3 linked regions of the Drosophila melanogaster genome follow. The protein of the gene in region 3 interacts with the protein of the main gene of each other region in a pairwise test. Each region holds a gene or a part of one and is shown on either strand. Other genes may lie near its edges.

What was found. Proteins that work in one complex are often made in the same cells at the same time.
Region 1: the proteins of Prip (region 3) and CG6149 interact in a two-hybrid assay, tested with the Drosophila melanogaster proteins (one large-scale study listed by BioGRID).
Region 2: the proteins of Prip (region 3) and CG17147 interact in a two-hybrid assay, tested with the Drosophila melanogaster proteins (one large-scale study listed by BioGRID).

Annotation. Positions count from the first base shown.
Region 1 is NT_037436.4:11,433,352-11,438,647, forward strand, and holds CG6149 (uncharacterized protein), read right to left. Parts: upstream 2,126-5,296; 5' UTR 2,111-2,125; coding exon 1,406-2,110; 3' UTR 1,344-1,405; downstream 1-1,343.
Region 2 is NT_037436.4:20,220,525-20,226,667, reverse strand, and holds CG17147 (uncharacterized protein), read right to left. Parts: upstream 2,737-6,143; 5' UTR 2,646-2,736; coding exon 2,639-2,645; intron 2,382-2,638; coding exon 1,375-2,381; 3' UTR 1,344-1,374; downstream 1-1,343. Other genes in the region: CG17145 (uncharacterized protein), read right to left, coding at 3,751-4,748, 4,810-4,816.
Region 3 is NT_033778.4:11,433,244-11,444,367, forward strand, and holds Prip (prip), read left to right. Parts: upstream 1-2,999; 5' UTR 3,000-3,179; intron 3,180-6,554; 5' UTR 6,555-6,589; coding exon 6,590-6,625; intron 6,626-6,726; coding exon 6,727-6,882; intron 6,883-6,943; coding exon 6,944-7,087; intron 7,088-7,824; coding exon 7,825-8,247; coding exon of another isoform or gene 8,248-8,295; exon of another isoform or gene 8,296-8,377; intron 8,378-8,406; coding exon 8,407-8,460; 3' UTR 8,461-8,497; coding exon of another isoform or gene 8,498-8,518; 3' UTR 8,519-8,629; intron 8,630-8,691; coding exon of another isoform or gene 8,692-8,727; 3' UTR 8,728-8,973; downstream 8,974-11,124.

The sequences.
Region 1 (5,296 bases), on a different chromosome or scaffold from region 3:
ATATTTTTTCTGATATGAATGGAGACCATTGTTTCTCGCAATGTTTCTCTGTGCACCACGAGGAGTACAATCAATCAGACCAATTAGTTTTAATGGCCCATTGCCCAGCGGAGTCAGCAATTAAAGCCAGTTCTCGGCCAATGCAATTGAGCTCCTTTTGCCGCAGTATTCCTAGTGCGATTTGGGGAAAGCTATTAAGCTTTTAATTGGCTCCCGAATTTTGTTAAAATATATACACATACTATTAGTCACCATTTTGGCCATCATTTTCGGCGGATTTTTTTTTTTAGCTGTCGTTGACCTTGGTTTGTATGCATCAACGATCTTCAAACGTGCTACTCCCGAAAATTGATCAAACAATTCAACAGCTGTTCGCGTGTGCTAATCGAAATTTAACGGCTTGTCAACAATGCGGCTTCTGTTCGGACTCAGTTAATATTATTGTATAAAGGTTTATAACCTTTTTAATAAATTCGTAGTCCAAATAACCTTTTCATATGTTGCTGGTCTAGAATTGAATCATCAAAATGATCTGCGCTTTAGGTAGAGATTACCAAAGTTCCAATCAAACGCTTATTCATTAAGTGAATTTCTAGTTGATTTTTGTTGAAGTAACATCTATATTAACATTTTTAAGTCTAATTTCATGCATTTTTACGATTCAGGCAACACTGTTTTAACAAGCAAGTAAGAAAGCAATAATTTAGTTATTTGCTAATAATGGCATACAACCGGAAGAATAGAAATGTTTACAACCAGACCGCCTTAAGAAAACACAAATGAGTGATTGACAGAAATGGGCTGTTACCCATCTGCCTTTGCAGCAAACAATGAAAAACTGTGCCTTTCTTCTCTGAGTTTCGGCTGTCCGGAGATCACTTTCGAAATATTGGCACAAGTGGTGTCCTGAAATATTCGAAATCGGAGCCCACATCCTAGCCAAACCGGAACCTCCCGCTGAAAGGATTGAGTAAAACAATGGATCGGTTTTCCAGAATCAGCTGGCAGCTGTAATTTCCGCACGTGACTATCATATAGTTGAATGAGAATATGTTCGAATCCATATGGATTCCGCTTCTTAGCAGCTGGTTTTTCGATGATAAACGCATTTGAAAACCAAAATAATATATTCAGAGCGATTTCCGGTTCCGTTATGTGTGTTGAAAAATTAGATGATTTCGACTTTTATATTGCAATTGATCTTTGTACCGGAAACATGTTTTATTACTTTCGAATTGAATTTTATGGTTTCTACAAAAATGTATATTAGTTTTATTACTGCGCCTTTTGTACGATTTGAATAGTTGCATAGCTTGACTTCCACAGTAGTCATATTTAATTTAATAAGAAGCATATCCTATATACTTTATTTATGTTCCTATCCTTAAACTATCAAATGTGCATTTCAATGGGAATCGATCCATCTGTGGACACCAGTAGATCGCTGCCACAAGACGTTATTAACTCGCTCGCCGAAGAGATAGTAAATGAATCCGAGGACCATGATAAGGACAAAGAAAATTACTCTCAGCTGCCAGGCGATGCCGCCCAGAAAGGGATACACCCAGATGTCGGTCCGGAACCAAACGATATGTATCCACACCAGATATCCCAACATGAAGGCACCCAGTCCAGTGAATCCTCGACTGCGTTTCGGATATTGATGTCGTGTAATACCCAACTCCACAAAGGCATAGATTACGACGAAGGTGTGCATGGTGTGGTTCAGCCAATTGGGATAGACCAGGTCCAAAAGCACCGGATATATCACTTCCCGATCGATGGCGAAGAGTGTCCAAAAGGTGAGACCCACCGTAAGGGCCAGAGGTACGGCAAAGGTGGCGAAGATGTAGTCTCGCAGCTTCCTTAGAGATCTCAATCGGAGGAGGTCAAAGGTCAGCGCCAGTGTATAGTACCCCAACTGCAAAAGGCCGCACAGAAACGTCATGTACTTAAACTTGCCACCAATCGGTGGCTCCAGGCGCAGGGTCACCGCCACTTGTGGCAACTGGGCATACCGACAGTCAAAGTAAATGGCATAGCCCAGGTGAACGGTGGCCGACAGGTGGAAAAACAGGCGAGCCCTGTTCGACAAATTAAGTCGCTCCATTTCCGGATAGATACTAACGCATTTGTCGATGGAGCTATGCTAATGTGGTGCAAATCGATCCGGCATAGGGAAATAGCCTATGACCGAAACGGATTCGCTAGAATAGTGATGCAAAATAAGCTCTAATTTTTACCAAGTTGGGTGAGAAAGTTTAAATAGGTTCCATTGAAACAAATAAATAACAATTTCAACCATGTTTCTAGTTTTGTAATCTACTCAAACAACTATTTGAAGGAAACACATAAATACCGTATCTAAAACTTATAGATAAATGTGAGTTTGGATATACAACGTATCAATTTCATCGTTAGTTTAATTATTGACCCACTGCGGAACCGAAAGGTAAAAGGCGATGAGTATTGACTCAAATGGAAATGGGGAGTTTGCCGTTAAAACTACAGGGGTGCGACCTTGGACACAGCTGATTCGTTTGGTCAGAGGTCCTTCAATTTCAGGACCAGATGTTGCGATGAAAATGAAGAGGAAGGGTCCACCAACCGCAGGCAATCAAATGGATGTGTGTTCCGTAAATATTTGTTTGTTTTCCTTTGTCGGCCGTGCAGATCTCAGTGGATAATTAGTCAGGCCCATCACCACCATATGTCCGACGAAAACCATTCGTAAATAGTTAAATTACCTTTTTGCCAAATTCGATTCAGCCATCTGACGGCGAAAGCGAGAATAGGTAAAACTATTTGTTTAACAGTGACCTGATAATTATTAGTTATATTTAACAAATATTAGTAAATAATTATAAATATACATTATATCTCGGAATACTGAATCAACTAGGAAGCCCAAAATTATATCTTATTAGCAGTGCAAAATAAAAGTAAAAATTTCAAGGACTTTTAGCTGGGTTTTTTTTAGTTTTTTAATAAATCCAGCTCACTTATCGATAAAAACTAGCTCTTAAGTAAGTCGACATCTGTTTGATTAGTAAGTCTTTGCTGTTCGAATTTGAGTCTATTAGTTAAATAGTGGTCTGTTACTATTTATAAATTCAATTTAAGCGTCTGTCCATGGTGATAACCAAATGGATTTAAAAACGAAAGGAGTCGCAAAAACTCAGTGCCGTGACGCAAATTTGGATATTCGAATGCCTGCGAAATATACATATGTATATACTATATAAGAACGATGTGTGCCCATACAATTATGATCCGCACTGCCCAGACTAATTGGAGCAATGTTGTTAATTTTTTAAAACCGTTGTCGGACACGTTTCGCTACGGTCATTGCGACAGAGTTATTTAAATATAGGCAGACATTTCTGGCCGATATTTTCGCACATAAAAACGGGTGTACAATATTTGGCAGTCAAATAAATGTATCAATCCCTTTAGGACCGAATGTTGCAGACTGTTTAGTTAGCACTTGTATGAACTCTGAGTTTGTAGGTGTATTGAGTGTAATTACACTATAAATAATCTATTGAGTTTTATCACTTTGTTTAATATAAGAATAAGAAAACCATGTTTAAATCAACTTAAGTTGGTTAATTAATTTTACAGACACATTTTTATTTTCGTATAAAAAACACACTATATATATTTCAAGGACGTATACATACTCCACATATTCCACTCTAGATTTTAAAGGTTATCAAGCATGTTCTTAGAAACTTTCAAAGGGAATACCTAAAGAAATTGTTAAAGTTCCTTATTTTGTTTCCCCTCACAGTTTCAGTTTCGTACATAATTAATGTTGGATCATCTTTTCACTGTTCACAAGCTTTGTAAACACTAAATCCAAAGCATTTGCCGCCTCTATTGAAATTTCCAAAGCCAGCCAAAAACTGCCGCATAATATATGTACGTACATTTAGCTCAGCGACTTTGAGATTCAAATTCTGGAAGCAAAGTTCACCCAACCCTTTTCTGGTCGCCAAGAATTTTCTCTAATGACTTAAACGCGGTAACCACTAAAACATTTACAGCGCATACGGTCCTGTTGTTCACTTCTCACCACCAAGGTAAAAACCACGATGCCCCATAACAACCCAACCACCCATTTTCCATTCCCCTTCGGCACTTAAATGTAAAGAGTCGCATTTTTGCGCAAATTTTCCCCGAAACCGCAAGTAGAAAACTCATTAGACGCAAAACGTTTTGGCGGAAAAGTAGGCTGGGAAATTACACGATGGCTGCTATGCCATCGGTTGTGGGAGCAACTTGGCTGATCCACTTGTATGGCCAAACACACTTATGCTTGAGAAAATGTACATATATGTCGAATATAAAGGATGATTAATATTTAAACTACAAATAAAAGAAAGAAAGATGTGACAAAACTTACTTCCACTCGTTTAGTGTCTGCAGCAGATAACTAAAATATAACAAACATGTGCATATGTTCATTATAATACTTTTCATACAATCATCGGAAAATATACATTTTATTGGATAACTTGATGTGTTTTTTGAATTTTCCTCTTCGTTTACCTTTTCCTCATGTTTCATAAAAACCCCACCTACGATTTTTGTTGTGTGTGTATTTTGCAAATTTGTATCTTTTAAGAGAGCTCACGGTAATATTTGAATTGCGTGAACCTGTGTTTGCTTTTCAGTTGTATGATGTTGGGTTTTGATCGGGAAGGCAAATGCTTTCCAGACTGTGGGATTTGCCGACTACATAGACACGTGTGTTGCCAAATAAATCCGCCATAAGCCCTTTTTCCTTGTTTCTGTTTTCTTTTTTTTATTTTTTAGCGAATTCGACTTATCCTTTTTTGCATTCGAGCTCGCATACTTAAATTTCGGTTGGAAATATTTGAATTTCGGTTTTTTTCCCCTCGGCACATGTCGCCTAATTCCGCAGTCAGGACATCATTTTGTAGTAACATTCATGCAAATTATGTGCATACGCATTTGTGGCATGTAAATAAATCCCCAATATTCAATGCCTCCTATTGGTGAAAAGCTTACGTAAATTTTATTTACTCTAAAAGGAAGGCACTTTAATAATCCAGCATGGAACAACAGGATATTATTAAAATTAAAGCTCGGCATAATAAATACATAAAAAATGTTGGAAATTTTCACTATAACTATTGCATACATTTTTGTATTTACTTTCAGACATTTAATAAACATTCGATGTCTCAAGGCAAATTGGCATGCAGCTTAAATTAGTTTGGCACTGAGAATCATCGCCGTCCAAGGAGCTTTCCAGCAGCCCTTCAAG
Region 2 (6,143 bases), on a different chromosome or scaffold from region 3:
TATTGCCGCATTATTCTTTCGATATTTTTCTGATTGTTCCGTGATTTTATTATCACACGTTTTGAGGATCGGACTGCGGGTGTAGTTTTTTTTTTTGGTCTAAACTCCCTGCTTCTCTGATGACAATGAAGTATTATTATCAAATGCTGTATCAGCTGATCCATGCGTCGCTTTTCATATTAGGTTGGCTCACAGATTGATTTTCCGACATTTAAAAGTGCAAAATATAAAAATTGTTTATACCGTTCTGGCGGTGTGGCAGCCGCACAACGCCACCAACATCTCTTTACCGGGTACACATGGTCACTCTGCGCGCGCATTCGTTTTTTGAGCATCATACAACGCATTATTGGAAACATTAATTAATTCAATTTAAGCATTAAAAGACATCGTGGAGCTAAGTTGTATAAGTTATTTGAGGAATTATTATTAGGTACAACTTAAAGTACAACAACACGCAAGGCGCAGTGCTGCGACTTAAATTCTCTGTGCGGGTGTATTTATCGATAACAGCCGAAACCGAATCGGTAAAATTTTAATTACGAATGTAACGGTCGTTGATGATTTCAAAAATGCAACAACAAAGCGGCAACTTCGTATGGAAAACGCAAAACTAATTGAGTTTTCTAAAAAAAAACTGCGGATTTATTTTTTACTTCCCATTGTCCTACGCATACATATAAAAAAGTTCTTATTTTCCTGAGCATAAGCTCTCGTTTTATTGCAAATTAACTCAACTACGTTTTGTAGATAAACAAATAGAAACAGTTAACAAGACGGTACTATTAATCTTGGTATTTTCATGTGGATGTTGTTCTACATTTTGGTAACTGATCAACAGAACGATAAAACTAATTGATTTCTAAATTTAGAAAGATTAGAAATGTGTTGTCTAATTTTAATGCGTACCATACGGGCAATTACCTGAATTTTAAATGTGTGCTATTAATGGATTGCTCATAAAGCACATAGTATATGTTTGTATTGTACCCAAAAAAACTGAAATTTCAAGCCAAATCGTAAATATAATTGTTTTGAAAACAAAATAAAAACAAAAAAAAATGCTATAGTCGAAGTCCCCGATATTTTTGAATATTAGTAGAAATTAAAAACCAAACCATAATTTAAAAATTGTTCGAAAGTGTGGTCGTGACAGTTTTGGGTGGTTTGTGGAATATTGATCCTGATCAAGAATATATACTCCATATGGTCGAAAACGCTTCCCTCTGCTTGTTACATACTTCTCAACGAATCTAGTATACCCTTTTAACCTGTGTACCTTTCTAGTGTCTTTGCTTTTAACGGATATATTGATCGCCAATAAAAATCAACTACCTCTTTTTCTTTGCACTTTTAGTTAAATTTATTTTTTGTTTAGTCCCGGCCATCGCAACACTTATCGTAGATGATCTTGGAGGAGCACGCTTCCACTGTCTCGTCGAAGAAGTGATCCCAGTGGCAGGTTTCCTCCGTCACCTCCTTGTTGTCCACACACCGGATGTAGTTGTGACAGTTATTGCTGCTGCTGGTCACCAGCATCGTGCCGCGTCCGTCGCATCTGTTGTGGGTGCACACCACTGTGGTGGGATTGGCGCAGAGCTGCCGATCCTCGTCGAAGAAGTAGCCCTCGGGGCACTGCGTCCACAGTGGATCCAGGTCGGCGACGGGATAGAGGGCCTTGCATACGAAGTATCCACGGCAGGTGGCTTGGTCGGATTTGAATGTCATTGTTGTGCTGCTGGTGCAGACGTTCTCCTTCGAATGGGCGGTGCACTCCACCTTATTGGCTTCCACGCAATTGCCGCTCTCCACATCGAAATACTCGCGCTTCTTGGAGGTGACAGTGCAGCTCTTGGACGCATGGTTACCGGTCTTGTCACACTCATAGTAGTAGGCGCAGTCCTTCTCATTCCGGAACTTCGTATTTTCCGCCACCAGCTCGCAAATGTTGTTCACATCCACGCACATGGAGTCCACGCCGTACAGGCAGGACTGAGAGCGCTCATCGAAGTGCTGGCCTACGGGACACATCCCCGCCAGCGGTACGCCGTTCATGCAGTAGAAGTACTTGTGGCACTCGGTCGGATCGGCCACCCATTCGCCATCCAATCCCTCGCAGCGATTGCCGCAGTACTTGTTGCTGTTGGCCAACGTGTCCACGCAACTACCCTTGCTGGGATTGAAGGACTGGTTGGAGGGGCAGGTCAGGACGGTGCCGTTGCCATCGTAGCACTGAATGTACTGGTCGCAGGTGCCGGGCTTGCGAACCTTGGTCCCGTTCTTGAAAAGGCGACACAGCTCCTCGTATTCACCGACACTCGCCGAAAGAGCTACGGTAGCCAACAAGAGAACGCATCCGAGAAGCACTCCAAGTTTGAGGTCTACGAATGATATACATATGATCGCGAGATATTAGATTGATACAGCACACCTTTTGAAAAACATATAGATATGCTTAAAAACCTTTAAAGATATACCTATAAAAATGAATATGAATGAACAAAATATCTAGATTCTACATTTTAATTGTATCTTTAAAAACGCATGCAAGCTGTTACTTTTCACTAAAAATAAAGGCTGAATCAGGGTGTATAAGTAAATATCTATGACGGTAAATTAATGGGTTCATAAAACTCACTTAGCATGGCTGATTGCTGGGAAACTTTGGTTTAATTTGCAACAGAATAGATCGAGTGGTTTGATGTGGCCTCGGGAACCAATTACGCGCGACTAAATGGAGTTTCGTGAATGGAAGAATCTTATATTAACTAGGAGTCATTATCGTTGCCACTGCTTCTGCTGATACCAGCGCTTTATTGCCTCTCTTATGAGCAAATCTTATCAATGTTGTGCGAAAGGAGGTAAAACCCTTCAAGTAGGTCGTAATTGGTGATTGAAATCGATTGAAATCGAGACAGCTGACTGCAGATTCCTTAACGACTCACTTTCATAGTAAATTTTGGCAACTTCAGTCGAAAAGGAAAGTGCCACTAGTTAATGAGGTATACCCACGGTAGTTACGAGTCAAATGAACCTTCTGTTGGCCGTTAATTAATTGAACTATAAATATATTTATCGCTGATGCGATTAAACGGTCAGCAGTTATTGTGCCGTAAATATGACAACCTTTTAAAATATACTGCCTTGCTATTTCACTGTCGCTTTCGATAGGTTTTTGTTTGGAAAATCAGAACTTTTGAAAACATTGATTGTAACCAACGAATAGGACAGTGATTATCATTTATGGTCTCCTCGGTGAGGCCATGCTATTCCATCGTTACCACCTGCAAGAAAAGTTTCCATGATTGAGTGAATTCTTAAAATTCTATTTGTTCATTTACCTAGTTTTCAGCTGAATTGTTCCAGGAATATTAAACAAAATACAGGTGTTCTTCACTCACCCATCAGATATTATTTATTCGAATTTCGAACTAGAACTTGTTTAAGATTATTGTTCTTTTTGGTAGCTAATCTTAAGCATTAGAGCAACGAAAACAATCTACGTTCTTATAAAAACGGGTAAAAAAACAATATATCTCAACTACGATCCTCGAGTTACAGCAAAGATACTGGCTTACAGCAGAAACTTGTCATTGTGCATAAACACGAACTCGCTAGAGAGCCGCGTATCTATATCTATGACAATCCAGGTTCCACAGTCCCCGAAAGAATCCAAACTAGTGCACTTCATTACAACACTTCCTTAACCAAATATCACATTGCATTCTGAGCTTTATTGGAAATACATGCCTACGTCTTGCACGCGGTGTAGGTCTGGACACTTGGAGTGCAGGCGCCCTGCTGGTCGTCGAAGAAGTAGTTGCCGCAGGACCTCTCGCTCACGGTTACCCCGTCGGAGCAGCTCAGATAGTTGCGACAGCCCTTGGTGGCACTAACGACAAAACTAGCAGTCCGACCGTCGCAACGATCGTGGGAGCAATAGACCGAACTGGGGGTTATGCACATCTGGCTGCTCGCATCGAAGAATCTGTCCTGGGGACACTGGTTCCACACCGGATTGGGGTCCGGGGTGCCATCCTTCTGCTTGGCGCAGTAGAAGTAGCCGCGACAGGTGGCTTCATCCGCGACGAACTTGTTCTCGTAGGGCTTACTGGCCTTGCCGCAGACATCCGTGGGCAACGGATGGGCATCGCAGTCCACCAGAGCCTTGGACACACACTCGCCCGTGCTGGCCTGATAATAGGTTTTCGAGCATGTCTTGTCCTTCAGGACGCCCTTCTCACAGACGTGATACATATTGCAGCCCTGCAGATTGTCGAAGTTTACGCCGTTCTTAACAATGCTGCAGTACTCGAAGGTGCTGGTGGTGCAATCCGATTCGTGTTGGCGGGAGCACATCTGGGTGGTGGCATTGAAGTGCGTCTCCTGCGGACAGGTGCCGTACAAGGCCGTCTCCTCGTCCGCACAGTAATAGTAGCCGTAGCAGGACTTGGGGTCGGCCACGAATTGCTTGGCCCGATCCGCGCAGGATATCGAGCAGCTGGACGTGGAAGTGGACAGTGACTTAACGCATTTGCCCGTGTCCTTGTCGAAAAACGGAGTAGATCCCGTGCATGTACTGTAGTAGCTGACGGAATCGATGCACGTGATCGATTGACTGCAGGATTCGGGATCTCGGATCACCGTATTATTGGAGAACAAGCGGCAGATGTCCTCATTCCGGCCATTAACCACATCTAGGCCTTGAAGCAGTAGCACCAGTGCCACGCCCAGTATGGCACCAAATTCTGCAATTTGAAAAAACAATAAAGTTAGATTTACACCACTGGCAGTTTGCAATCCACTCACTTTCCATTACAGCTCAACTTTGGACAAAGCATAAACTCGTACTGAATCTGAACGTCGACCTGCGATTACTTATAAATATCAGAGGATAAGCAGCAATCACTATTTGCTGGCAAGATAAGCGGATTGGTTTTTGAGGGGTATTCAACTGGGTAAGATGGGTTAAATAAAGATGAATAGAAGTCATTTGTTAAAAGCTCGAAGATTACAATCAAATGTATTGATTTTGCTTAGGGATTTGCTATATAATATTTTTGAAAAGGTAAATGATAGAGCACAAAAAATGGGAATGTTTGATAAAATTGTATTTATAAATTTAATGTTTTTAAGGAGCATTCATAAAATTTTACTTCAGAAAAAATTAATTATATTTTTCGTTGCTAAAGTACTGGGTGATTTCTAGTCGTAGTGAATGGTGATTTTATAAACAAGTTGGAGATTGCCAATTGGCTACCGGTAAATTAAATAGGAAGTAGATAAGTTATCATTTCGGCCAAAAAATAGTAATAAAATGAAGAGCAAGATCAGCTGGTTTAATTCATAAGGCTTAGTGGGTTAATAGAGAGCTTCCCTTCTTTATTATAAAAAAAAAAACATTTTTAGTACTCTACCAATTAAATATAAAAAGTAAATAAGCACGTAGCTTGAACTATTTTTTAAGAATTTAAATTACTTCGAAAATGCCTTGTGATTTGGAAAAAGTATCGAGTAAAGTGTTTAAATGTCATTGCATACTTATGGGCGAATTTCTAAACGGACAAAACTCGCTTTTAGGCGAAACAATAAAATAAGGCGGATAGATTTAAAATAGTTTAACGGAAAATAAAACTGACTAAAAAAATGGGGTTTTTGTTATTAAACATTAACATCAATTATTTTTATAGATTATATAGATAGATAATAAAATTTCAAAATACTTGCATATAATTGTACTATTTAATTATGCATACAAATAAATAAATATATATAACTCATAATTTCATAATTTCATAGTGCGATTTATTTATTTTGTATTTCAGTTCAAACGGTTCTTTTGGACAAGTTATTAATATAAACATTTGTAGTTCGGTAATTTTTCCCCAGAACCTGATAACCTTCAGAGGAAAGTCTAGTCAAGTCAAGTCAAGAGTCGCAGTGCGATTCAAATTGAGATATCTAACTAATGTCGTGTTGCTGAAATGAGTGCCGAGATACCAGGGAAACACCACTGAGTGATCAATAAGAGCCGTGACACTTTCCCGCCTCCTCGAGCTTCTTCGAAATTAAAAAACAATTATAGACAAAGAGGGTTCGCAATCAGCAGCTGATAATCCAAATTCCGGCGCGGCTGTCAACGT
Region 3 (11,124 bases):
CAGCCAAATGTTAAGGTTGATTCTGGCACACGAGGCGTATACTCACTTCCTGTAGCATGCTCGCGGTACACGCTGCGTATGAGCGATGTGGAAGCGCGTGCCGGGGCCAAAAATTGCAGGTAATTAAGCAGAAATAAAAGGCTCCATCCCATCCATCGAAATCGAAAAGTTCGCAGCACTCCAGCATTGATTGACACAAGCACTTGTACTTGTACAATTTGCCATTTGTGTTTACCCAACTTCTTCGGTTTTTGTTCTCGCACTGGCTTTTGTTTTATATAAAAATACATCAAGAACGATTTGTTTTGTTTTCAATTTGTTAAGTTTCATTTTTTCCCCTTTTTTGTTCTGTTGACTGATGGCGTACGTGTTATATATTGAGAGCCCATTAAGATGGGGCACGGTAATGGGCACATAAAAAATGGCAATTGGTGAAAATTTGCTTATATCCGATGCTGATAAGCCATCGCAGATGTTCCGAGGTTTTTTGCCTTTAAGCGGTAATCAAAGCACACTTGACTCGAAAATTCTATATAACAAAACTGAAATAGCACATTGGCTGCGAAAAAAATGTAAGCTTCCGCTAAATGTCTAAAATAAAAGAGAAAACTTCAATTGAAATTCAAGCAGCGATGAAATACAAGTTTTTAAGCATTTAATCTAGATCTGGCATATCAGCAACTTATTTTATAGCTGCGGAAGTAGCTCATCCGAAAATGCACTTCGATTTATCAGTATATATGTATGCGTATGCTGAATCTACTAGACCACGAATGAAACAACGTTTTTTAAACTAATTAAATTGAAATAATCCCTTTGCAAAAAGCCCATTCCCCCAGATCACGTCACTTTGCGACTGCCAGCTTTAAATTCCAGCAATGTCTGATTTAATTAATGGCTTCCCACTCGGGGGCGCTATGACCGGACAATTCTAATTTATTATTTTGCCAGTCAGGACACAATTACTTTGCTTTCCCATATTTCACATTGGGGCTCCATGCCAGCGGAAAAAATAAGCAAAAAGCCCAAGCAAATGGGCGCAATGTCGGGCCAAGGTCATCGCAGGACTATTGTGTTGGTCCTGACTGAAAAGTGGGCGTTGCCCAGGTGTCAAGAGTCAAGTGTCAGAAGGACTCCACTGGTTCATATATTTCCATTCAACTGAAATGTGTACTCGATTTTCCTTTTTGTCCGAACAAAGACGTATTCTTTTTAATCCATGTAAATCAGACAAGATCCTTGACGACGCTAAGTACTTTGTGTGTCATGATTTAAGGGAAGTTTCGTATATGATTTATACTTGTTTGTTTCTCCCAGGCATATTTTTGATAAAACTGGGCTGAGCACATGTAGTTGAATCACAAAATGTCGTCGTTTTCGATAAACGCACTAATTAATCATCCGAAAATTTACATAATTAACTATTCTTTGTTAAGCTATAAAATTTCAGTAACTATGATTTAAGAAATGTAACATAAGAAAATAATATGTTGAATAAAAGAGAAACTCTATAAATAAATAACTACAACGCTTGTCAGTTTAGAATGCGAATGATCATTACAATTAACTAGGAGGTTTCTATCAATCCGATTCGGAGTGAAGTGTATTAGTATTTTTGTACCCGTATCAGCACGTGTTGCATTCAACCGCCTTATTCTTATTTAACTTGTTATCAGTATTAAACCCGTTATTATCTATAACTAATAGTGAAGTACACATAGCCTATACTATAATGTTTCTAATCAGGAAACCTTAAGATAAAGCTAAGTGGTATTTTTAATCTAAGCCAAATTCGCTAGTCTAAAGACGTGACATTAACTTTAAAACCAGGAATGACCTTTTCAGACTCGTCTACACACAATATAATTTTAAATATTACACACTTTTTGGCGAATTTACCCTAATAATTAGCCATTTTATGATTATGATAATAATGAAAATAAAATTAAAATAAAATAAAATAGTTTATAATAATAAAAATAATGTTATATATAAAGGTCGAACAGTTTCAGACCATAATGTAAGCAAACTATACATACAAAGTGTGCCTACGTTGTTTTCGGTGTACTATCTCGATCATTTCTACTCTTATATTTGACTTATACGATTACACTTTATTTTACACCAAGCTCACAGTCATAAAATTGTGATTATACGCATTTATGAGGGCCTCATAAAAGTGTGCTTGGATTTGTGATCTGCGATTTTGCGGTTATTAATTTAAAATGGCAAATATACTTCGAAGACAACACCCATAAAGATAAAGTGAATTTGATTTTACGTCAAAATGTCATGGAAAAGTTCGGTATTCTCTGCTTGGAGTACACTAAATTAATTAAAGAAATTGTTTGTGAAGACATGATTTCTGGGCCGATTTCTCTGATAAGAACACCGAAAAGCAACGGAAACTTTTCTGCAAGCGTCACTGTCTGACGTGAATGATGGGTGGGTGTAAATATTACCCCTAAATAACTATTTGCAGTCCATAAATTTACTGATTGGTCGGAATTTTCAATTTAATATTTTTGCATGGTTTGTGTCTTGGCTGACGCGTGTGGGGTGTGGTGAGTTTCGGTGCCTGGCATGTTGTGTTTTTAAGCGGTGCGCCCGCGCAGCTAAACAATTTCGAATTCATTCCCTTTCAAAACTTTGGATAGTGCAATTAAATTAAATCGATGAAGAATTTGATATATATATCTATAAACGAATAAGTTCTCTGATTAACTTTCTTATACTTACGCATAAAGCTTATATTAAAGCGTATAGAATGTAAACATAAAAGCTCATAAAAACTAATTTGTTTTTAATAATTAGTTACACATTTATATAAACATTTAGTTAATACGCATAATTACATTATTTAGTTTTTTATAATTTAATTAATATAAATGTGCGCTCTTCGCATGAATTTATCTCTCTGCCCCTCTCTCTTTATAAATCGCGCTCTTTCTGCGCCATCGTTTTTGGTGCCTTTGGCTTTTTGCTGCCAAATGCGGTCGCGCAGTTTTTGTCGTCGAGTCAAAGTGCGCGGATCACTCCTCGAGTGAGCTAACAATTCCTGCCGAATTGAATTAAATATTTGTTAAGTGCAAGTTAAGGTGTTAGCTGTTGTTGTTGCCGTTAAGTCGAGTTCGTAAGCAGGTGGCAAAGGTGCCAAAGTGAGCTAATAGCAAAACAAGGTAAACTTCTAATTGAAAGTGATCTTGAAAATGCATAAAGTACATAAACTTTAAATGGGCATATCAAAAAGAGAATATTTCAACATATGTGTATTATTAATGTTTTTAATTAAGTTTAGATCTAATCAAATCAGTTATCCTGCAATATTATGCTGTTAATGGTGTATTTATAAGCTTGTAATCGATTTATTTATATTTAGTTTTTGAGTTTAATATAAACTAATGAAATGTAATTGCTTATATAGCTAAATAGTGACAAATTTAATAATTTAAGTTAAGCAAGTATAATTCAAAGTAACTAAAGTTTCTCCCTGTGCACCGAAACTAATGCTGTAATACCGTTTTGCATTTTTTTCTAACCCCTTACTTCGCCATTTATCAAATCTACTTTGATCTGTTTTCCTCTTGTTATGATTTTTGGAATTTTGTGAGACCGCCCCCGCATGTCAATCGTAAAAATATAACAATTTATGTACAATTTTTACTTTTGACCGCCAGCACGATTCTGAGTAATTAAAAGCCGCGAATATAAAATGTTATTCTTGCCAAAAGATGTGTATTTGAAAATTCATACATTTGGGACATTTCATTGTGCTTTTCATTTTGAAACCAGCGTTGCGTGAAACGATGCGGTCGTGCGATCTGTTTAAGCTTTTAAGATTTCTATATGTTTTGGTATTGTGTTCATTGGCTAATTGTTATTTAGGTACGGCAATGCCATGATCCGATGATATGGTAATGGGTCTTACAGAGCTTGGGGCATTCAGTTCGCTTCATATCTGACACTTGTGATTGATGGGTTGACCGCAGCAATTTTCTGGTCTCTGATTTGGTAATTTAAGTGAAGAATGTCCATCAGAAGCCTGGCTTCACTGTGGCCCCGAACACGTGTGGGAGTTTGGGCTATTAACTTTGCAATTGCCTCTGTGTGTGTGTGGTTTCCCCCCACTTTTATCGCTCCTGCCCCTCCCACGTTCGGCGTTGCATACAAATTTAGGGCTTAAGTAAGTTTTATGGCTTTTTAAGTGACAAAGTTGCGGCAAACAATTGCAAACGTCTATATCGCCAAATGCCATCAGGCGACGAACGCAATTGGAGCTAGGCCAGATACAATAGTTCAAAAACAATGAATATGAAGTCCAGTTCCCTGATTTCAGGCAAAGTTAACAGCTAGTTCCTAAGCTTTAATAGTCTGCATTACATTGTTGTCCCTTAACTTTTTCAAAAAACACTAAAATAGTTAGAGATCATGTGACTGCCATATTGGTAATTACTTTGATGCCAATAAATGCTACTCAAAACGGCAATAGTACCGAAAACACTTGAAAAGTGGTCAAGATAATTTGTATACTCGCTTTTAGAGTCCATAAAAATACATCAAGAAAGCAAAGCCAAAGATATTAGCTCATCAGCTTCAGAAACGGGAGATTTATACCCGTGTTATCGGCATGTTTTTAAATTAATGACGAATGTCTGCGTATGCGGCGATTTTTCTTAACGACATTCTTCAATATTTGCATATAATTAAATTTTATTGGAACACATTTTTAGCCGCCCCTCGGTTCAATTCGGCGAGAGTTCAAGTTCATGAACCCCTTGTTCATACACGTTTCGAAAGTCACAAAAATGCCTCGAATGACGAAAATCAGAACGAAATGCGTTGAAATGCATTCGACTTTGTTGTGTGTGCGAAAATATGTGTGAATTATGTGGATTTTGTTCTCGCCGTTTGTGCTAATTTGTTGAGCAAACTTTTACTTTATTGTTCGGATATTATGCGAATTGGCACGGACCCACTTGTACACTGGCAATTAGCCACATTTGTTGGCGCGCTATTGAAAATTCCAGAATTGGTGAGGGGCATATTGGGTTTCCAATTATAAAACAAGCTTATCATCCATAAATTGCGGCCCGAAATAATCGCAAAGCAAACTTTAATCAGAGCCGATTAATTGCTTAGATTTTTCATTCGAGGACCCAACACCTTGTGGTTGTACATACACCATTTAACCATTCTCATTAGCTGCAACCAAAGTGATAATCAGCACCTGTGAATCCGCACTACGGAATGTCAGTTAGTAGCTGGCCAATTAAAGCATTTCATAGGAACTAATAAAGATTATAATTACATGCTCAAATTGTTGAATCCGTTTTCACAATGCATGATTAACGGTCGATGACAAATATTGAAACTCTCAGGTTTTTACCCCGTTTTCCTCAAACCTCCAGTCAATGGAAATTGTTGTGTGGGTAGATTTTCGCTCTATGGCAAGGCATTCCACTTATCCGTGGGCCCAACCTTAAGTCAACTCAATTACTATTTGATCATCCAGCGCACCCCCTGCACCTCAATTAAGGAATAGAACTCGCTTTTTCATATCAGAGCACTTGAGTCTATTGGCTGATATCGATATGGGGCTCATGCTCGTAGATGACGCAAATGAAACACGAAATTCATTAAGATTGCATTAGAAAAGTAAATACTCGAAGTGATGAACAACTTGAATGCTTTGCGAGCATAGAAAATGGGAATTAACATTGAGCGCTCACTGATTGATTACCAAATGAAATGATATATGCAATATAAATTATTTTATACATACATACTCGTATGTATTTTTAAAGCTCTCGATGTTCTTGATGTGTGGGGGCATGGCCAACAAGTCTTAGCCCATTTTTGGGCCTGTTCGTGACCGCGTTGCGCCAAATAAGAAGAGCAAAGCAAACGCTTTCCACTGATGCCACTCTAGAACACTCTAAAAAAAAACCAGGCCTAATCCCCCCGCGGCTACAAAAACTGCCGGTTAAAAACTCAATTGCGAGTTCTGTTCACTCCTGACGGCGTTGTGCTCAAATATTTACATCGTTTTTATGACCCGTTGCCAATTAAATATTATACACTTTGTTTGTTTTATATATATTCTCACATGCAGCTGCAATTGCTGATAAGCTGGCAGTCGTCGAGTTGAGAGGAGGATTGCCCAGTTACCCACTGGCTGCCTCCAGTTACCCACTTTTAATGACAAGTGCTAAAGTTGAGCATTTAATAAATAAACGTAGATTAAGAATTTTTGGGACACAAGCCTTGAGTTAAATGAAAACCCCTAGACTTTTCCAATTGAAGACCAGACAGAAGTGTCGGCCAATTAGGCATCGTGACGGAAATTGCAGCGGAAATGCAGATTGTCAAAACTGTCACCAAAGGCCAAAACAATATCGCACCTTAAATGAGTGATAAAAGTGGCTAAATACCTGCTGAAGTCGGACAATTGTCCACTTCCATTTTCAAACACATTTCCATTTGCATTTTGGATTGCCATTTGCATTAACTACCAGACATCGTTCACTGATATTTCCGTTGGTCTTTTTTTTCAGTCCGTCAGTTTTAGTTGAAAAGTGAAGCGAAGAAGATGGGAAAATTCGAATACTCACTGGGTCTCAATGAGGTGAGTGCAAATCATACAAAGACAAAGTTTAATCGAAATACCAGTCAGTTATTAAAAATATCATTAAATAATGCTACTTTACTTATTAATTTGTCTTCTAGCTCAAATCCAAGGAGCTGCGATTGTGGCAGGCCTTGATTGGAGAATTCCTTGGCAATTTGATCCTCAATTTCTTTGCCTGCGGCGCATGCACCCAAATTGAGGATGGCACCTTCAAGGCCTTGGCTTTTGGCCTGGCTATCTTCATGGCCATCACGGTGGGTGGCTCGTTAATCTACGACATTATTCATACCCATATTCAACTATATATCCTTGCAGATTGTGGGCCACTTGAGTGGTGGTCATGTGAATCCTGCCGTTACCGCTGGAATGTTGGTCGCAGGACGAATTAGCTTGATCAGAGCCTTTTTCTATGTGGTTTTCCAGTGCTTGGGTGCAATTGCCGGAACTGCAGCGGTTAAGGTAGGCATTACACACATAAATTATTACATACATCTGAGTGAAATTATTAAAACAAAATACTCATCAGATTCCACTATTTCTTATATCATCATCATCAATTATATAGAGGTCGTCATTATGACAAAAAAATCTAACCTATCTTTACTTCTATGGTATATCTACAAAACAGCATTGCCAAAGAAAAGTCATTTGGCTTGTAAGTGTCTCAATCAGAACTGCCAGATTTCAAAATCAAATCCAAAATGTAGTCAATTAAAAAAATGTATAAATAATAATAAATATAAATACTTACTCGTTGTAAGATGATTGTTTGCAATGCTTTTGAGCTTATCTCGCTTTCTTAAAATAACACACTGAGACACATATGTACATACATGTTATTAAGTTTATTATTGTGATTGCCTCACATCCGGTTGCGGTTAAAAATGCCTTGTGTTTTGACCATTACTTTCTTTCGTTGAGTGGATAAATGATACGGGTACGCCAATGTCAAGAAAGTACTTTGATTAAATACTCGTATTTTTCGGTTTTATTTTGTATTAAAAACTACACATTTTAAAAAACAAATGATTTAGTAGAAATCACCAGTTCAATGAATCAACTTAAAATCTAATAGTTTAAAGTATTTTTACATACTCAACAAAACTAAGAGCTATATTTATTTTTAAGATTAAGATATCTAATCTAATCTATCTATCTATCTATATATAAATATTTTTTTTATACCAACACATTAGATTCTCATCGATCAGGACTATTACAATGGCCTGGGTCACACCTCTCTGGCGCCCAATATCACCGAGCTGCAGGGCCTGGGAATCGAGTTCTTCCTGGGACTCCTGCTGGTGCTCGTCGTCTTTGGGGCCTGTGATCCCCACAAGCCCGATTCCCGCTACACGGCGCCCTTGGCCATCGGAATGGCGGTGACCCTGGGTCACTTGGGCACCATCCGCTACACCGGGGCCAGCATGAATCCCGCTCGCACCGTGGGCACCGCCTTTGCCACCGACATCTGGGCGTCGCATTGGGTATACTGGGTGGGACCTGTGCTGGGGGGCGTGGCTGCCGCCCTGCTCTACACCCAGGTCCTGGAGGCGAAGCCCGTGCCAAAGGTTAACGAGGCATCCGAGAAGTACCGAACGCACGCCGATGAACGCGAGGTGAGAGTCAGGTTGATAAGCGCCTGGAGCGAGGAGTCCTTCTACTGATCCGTGATTCCGCCCACCCATTACACACACACACACACACACACACCCATCACACACACAAACACTCACTCACACTTGCATTGTAAATACTCCCGAATTACTTGATTTCAGGGATGCAAACCGAACCACAACCCGAACCATTTGGCATATACATATCTCGCTTAACTATAACTATTAAATGTGTTATGTTTTATCGCTTTAGCAGCAGATATTCGTATACTAAAGATATTACGACCTGCACGCAAAACTAATCTAAACCGCTTTTGTGAACCGAATACGATTGGTTTAGAAACTCTTCAATCCTATCAACCGAACCCGTCCGCCATTTCGATCGGTTTGCATCCCTGTTTAATTAGCTAACTAAATTTTGTATTATTGCAATTTATTTACTTGCAGATGCGCAAACTGGAGGGAGCCCGTGACTACGCCTAGATATAAAGAAATCTTTGCGACTCGAATCTAGGGATACAGATGAAATCTGTGTGTTTAATCCATTCATTTCAGTGTCTAACATAAACATGTCGTGTTCTTCTACGTTCGTGTGTATTTATGTATTTATTCATGCAAAATTCATTTTTAACTAACTAATATTTAATGTGTAAGCTGCCCTAAAATGCAATCTACAACAAAATTACTTGTACTCTCATGCGCTCACAATAAAGTGGAAAACATTAACTGAAACAAACTGGTGTTTATCGATTTTGTATCTTAATATAAAATAAAATATTACTATAAAATTGCTATACCCATGAAAAAATTTAAGCAATTCAATAAAATTCGAAATAAAATATAGCTAGCTAAAATTTTCATTGGTTTTTGCATCTTTAAAAAGAGCGCAATGAAAAGCTTATGCTGCAAGCTTTTCCGGCCGAGTTTCCCAACACTCGGTATGCGGAAAAGCTCCGTGGCAGCATACGGCAAAAGCGCCATGCGCCAAAACTGTCAAAAAGCGTTAAGGGAAAATCGGAAAATCCGCAGTCGTCCCCGTCGTTGGCCATGTAGTTGCGTGTGACCTGCTAAATAAATTACAAAATTAACAAATAAAAAACGTCTATCGACACTAATTGGCCACAACTTACTGTTCAACAATTGATAAATTATTCGAATTAGTGAATTAAACAATTGGCAAGTGTGCACAGTTAAGTGAAAGGCCAGATGAAAATCAAGGCAAAGCGATGCACTAAAGTGTTGTGGGCCAAATCAATAGAAAAGCAGTGAAGGAGAAAAGTCACCAATCGACGGAAAAGCGACCGAGACCACGGCGAGGGTCGAATGCAAATTGCAGTAGACCTCGTTAAGGCTAAGAACACAAGTTGGCCGAGTTAAGCTGGCCAATCGATTCCGAGAATCGGGACCATCTTATGAAACAACGGCCCAACCGCCGACCCGGAAAAGTGTGAAACGAAAGGAAAGGAAAAGTGAAAAGTGCTGGGAAAAGTGGAGAGGCTGCAGCGTCGTGTAAACACAGAGTCGCACAAAATCAATACTCGCGTGTGTCTGGGCCAACGAAAACCAGGCAGTCAAACATGAACGAGGACTCCAATTCGGTTGGCCAGTAGTAACTGGGACTAAAGGCAAGTAGTTAAACGGTCTAAAAATATGCCATTCGAAGCCCTGCTCTGCACTTGACCCACTATGCAATTAGCTCGTTATAGCCATTAAAGCTTGATAAATGGCCAGGAAATGTGATCGGGAGCTATAATCATCGCTAAAACGTTGGCATTGCGCACACTTGTTGCACGGGAACCATAATTTGACCCACTTGCATGCATGCCACACACAAGTCGAAGACCAATATAATATGTATCTCTAATATCTTTGATGCAGTGGTGCATTTTTGCTTTAGCGGCTTCCATATTGGCAAGACTTTATTCTCGAAATTGGGTGGTGCGAAGCCAAAACCTTAACCTGAAAAGATCGATATACCGGGTATATATCAAAGGGGTATATTAGTTTGCAGTTCAAGTTAAAAACAGACTCTAAATATGTCTTTTAAAGATATGAATTTTAGCAATCGAATATACTGTATGTTTGCTGCAGCAATAAATTTAAATACATTAAGTAGATATCCTTCCGGCAGGCTTATATCTAAATGACCATCTTGCTATGTACAAATTTAAACAGCATTATTTGTAATAGGTATCCATTAGGCAGTTTACTTTTCACTCGCTTAAAGAATATTCTTAGCTGTGAGTGGCATACATATAAATATAAATAGTTTTGTCTGCCGCTCCGCTCGCTTTTCTGGTCGCCCGCCCTCGCAGCATTTTGACACTTTGCCAAAGTTCAATGCAAAAAATGCCACAATAAATTCAGCCAAACCGAAACAAAAAATGTGTAAAATGCAGAGCGTCGTGTGAAATGTGAAATGTGGAAGCCGAAAGATATGACACCGATGGTTAGCATTCGAAAAGCCGGTCAATTCCCGGGTGCCAAGAAACCATTGACATCAGCAGCAGCCATGACTTGAACTCATCTGCCCAATGGAACCAAAACACTCACACCCATTGACCTAGAACACTTATTAGAGGTTGTGCGACTCTATTTTTAGAGCCATGTTTTTGATCCACTTATATCTTATGTGGTCTATATATATGCCACATATGTATTTATATTGTCATATTGACGTACGCATGTGAGGCTGTTCCATTTATGTCGCCATAAATTCGAGCACCACAAATCATATTGATCGAAACTCATGGATTGACCCTCGCCCGTGTGCACCATTAACGCGCCATAAATGTTGAGAAACCAGAGTTGGTCGCATTTCGGGAAATTGTTAATCTTTGCGCTTCCCATTTTATGGTGGGAAAACTCTGGGGAATTAGA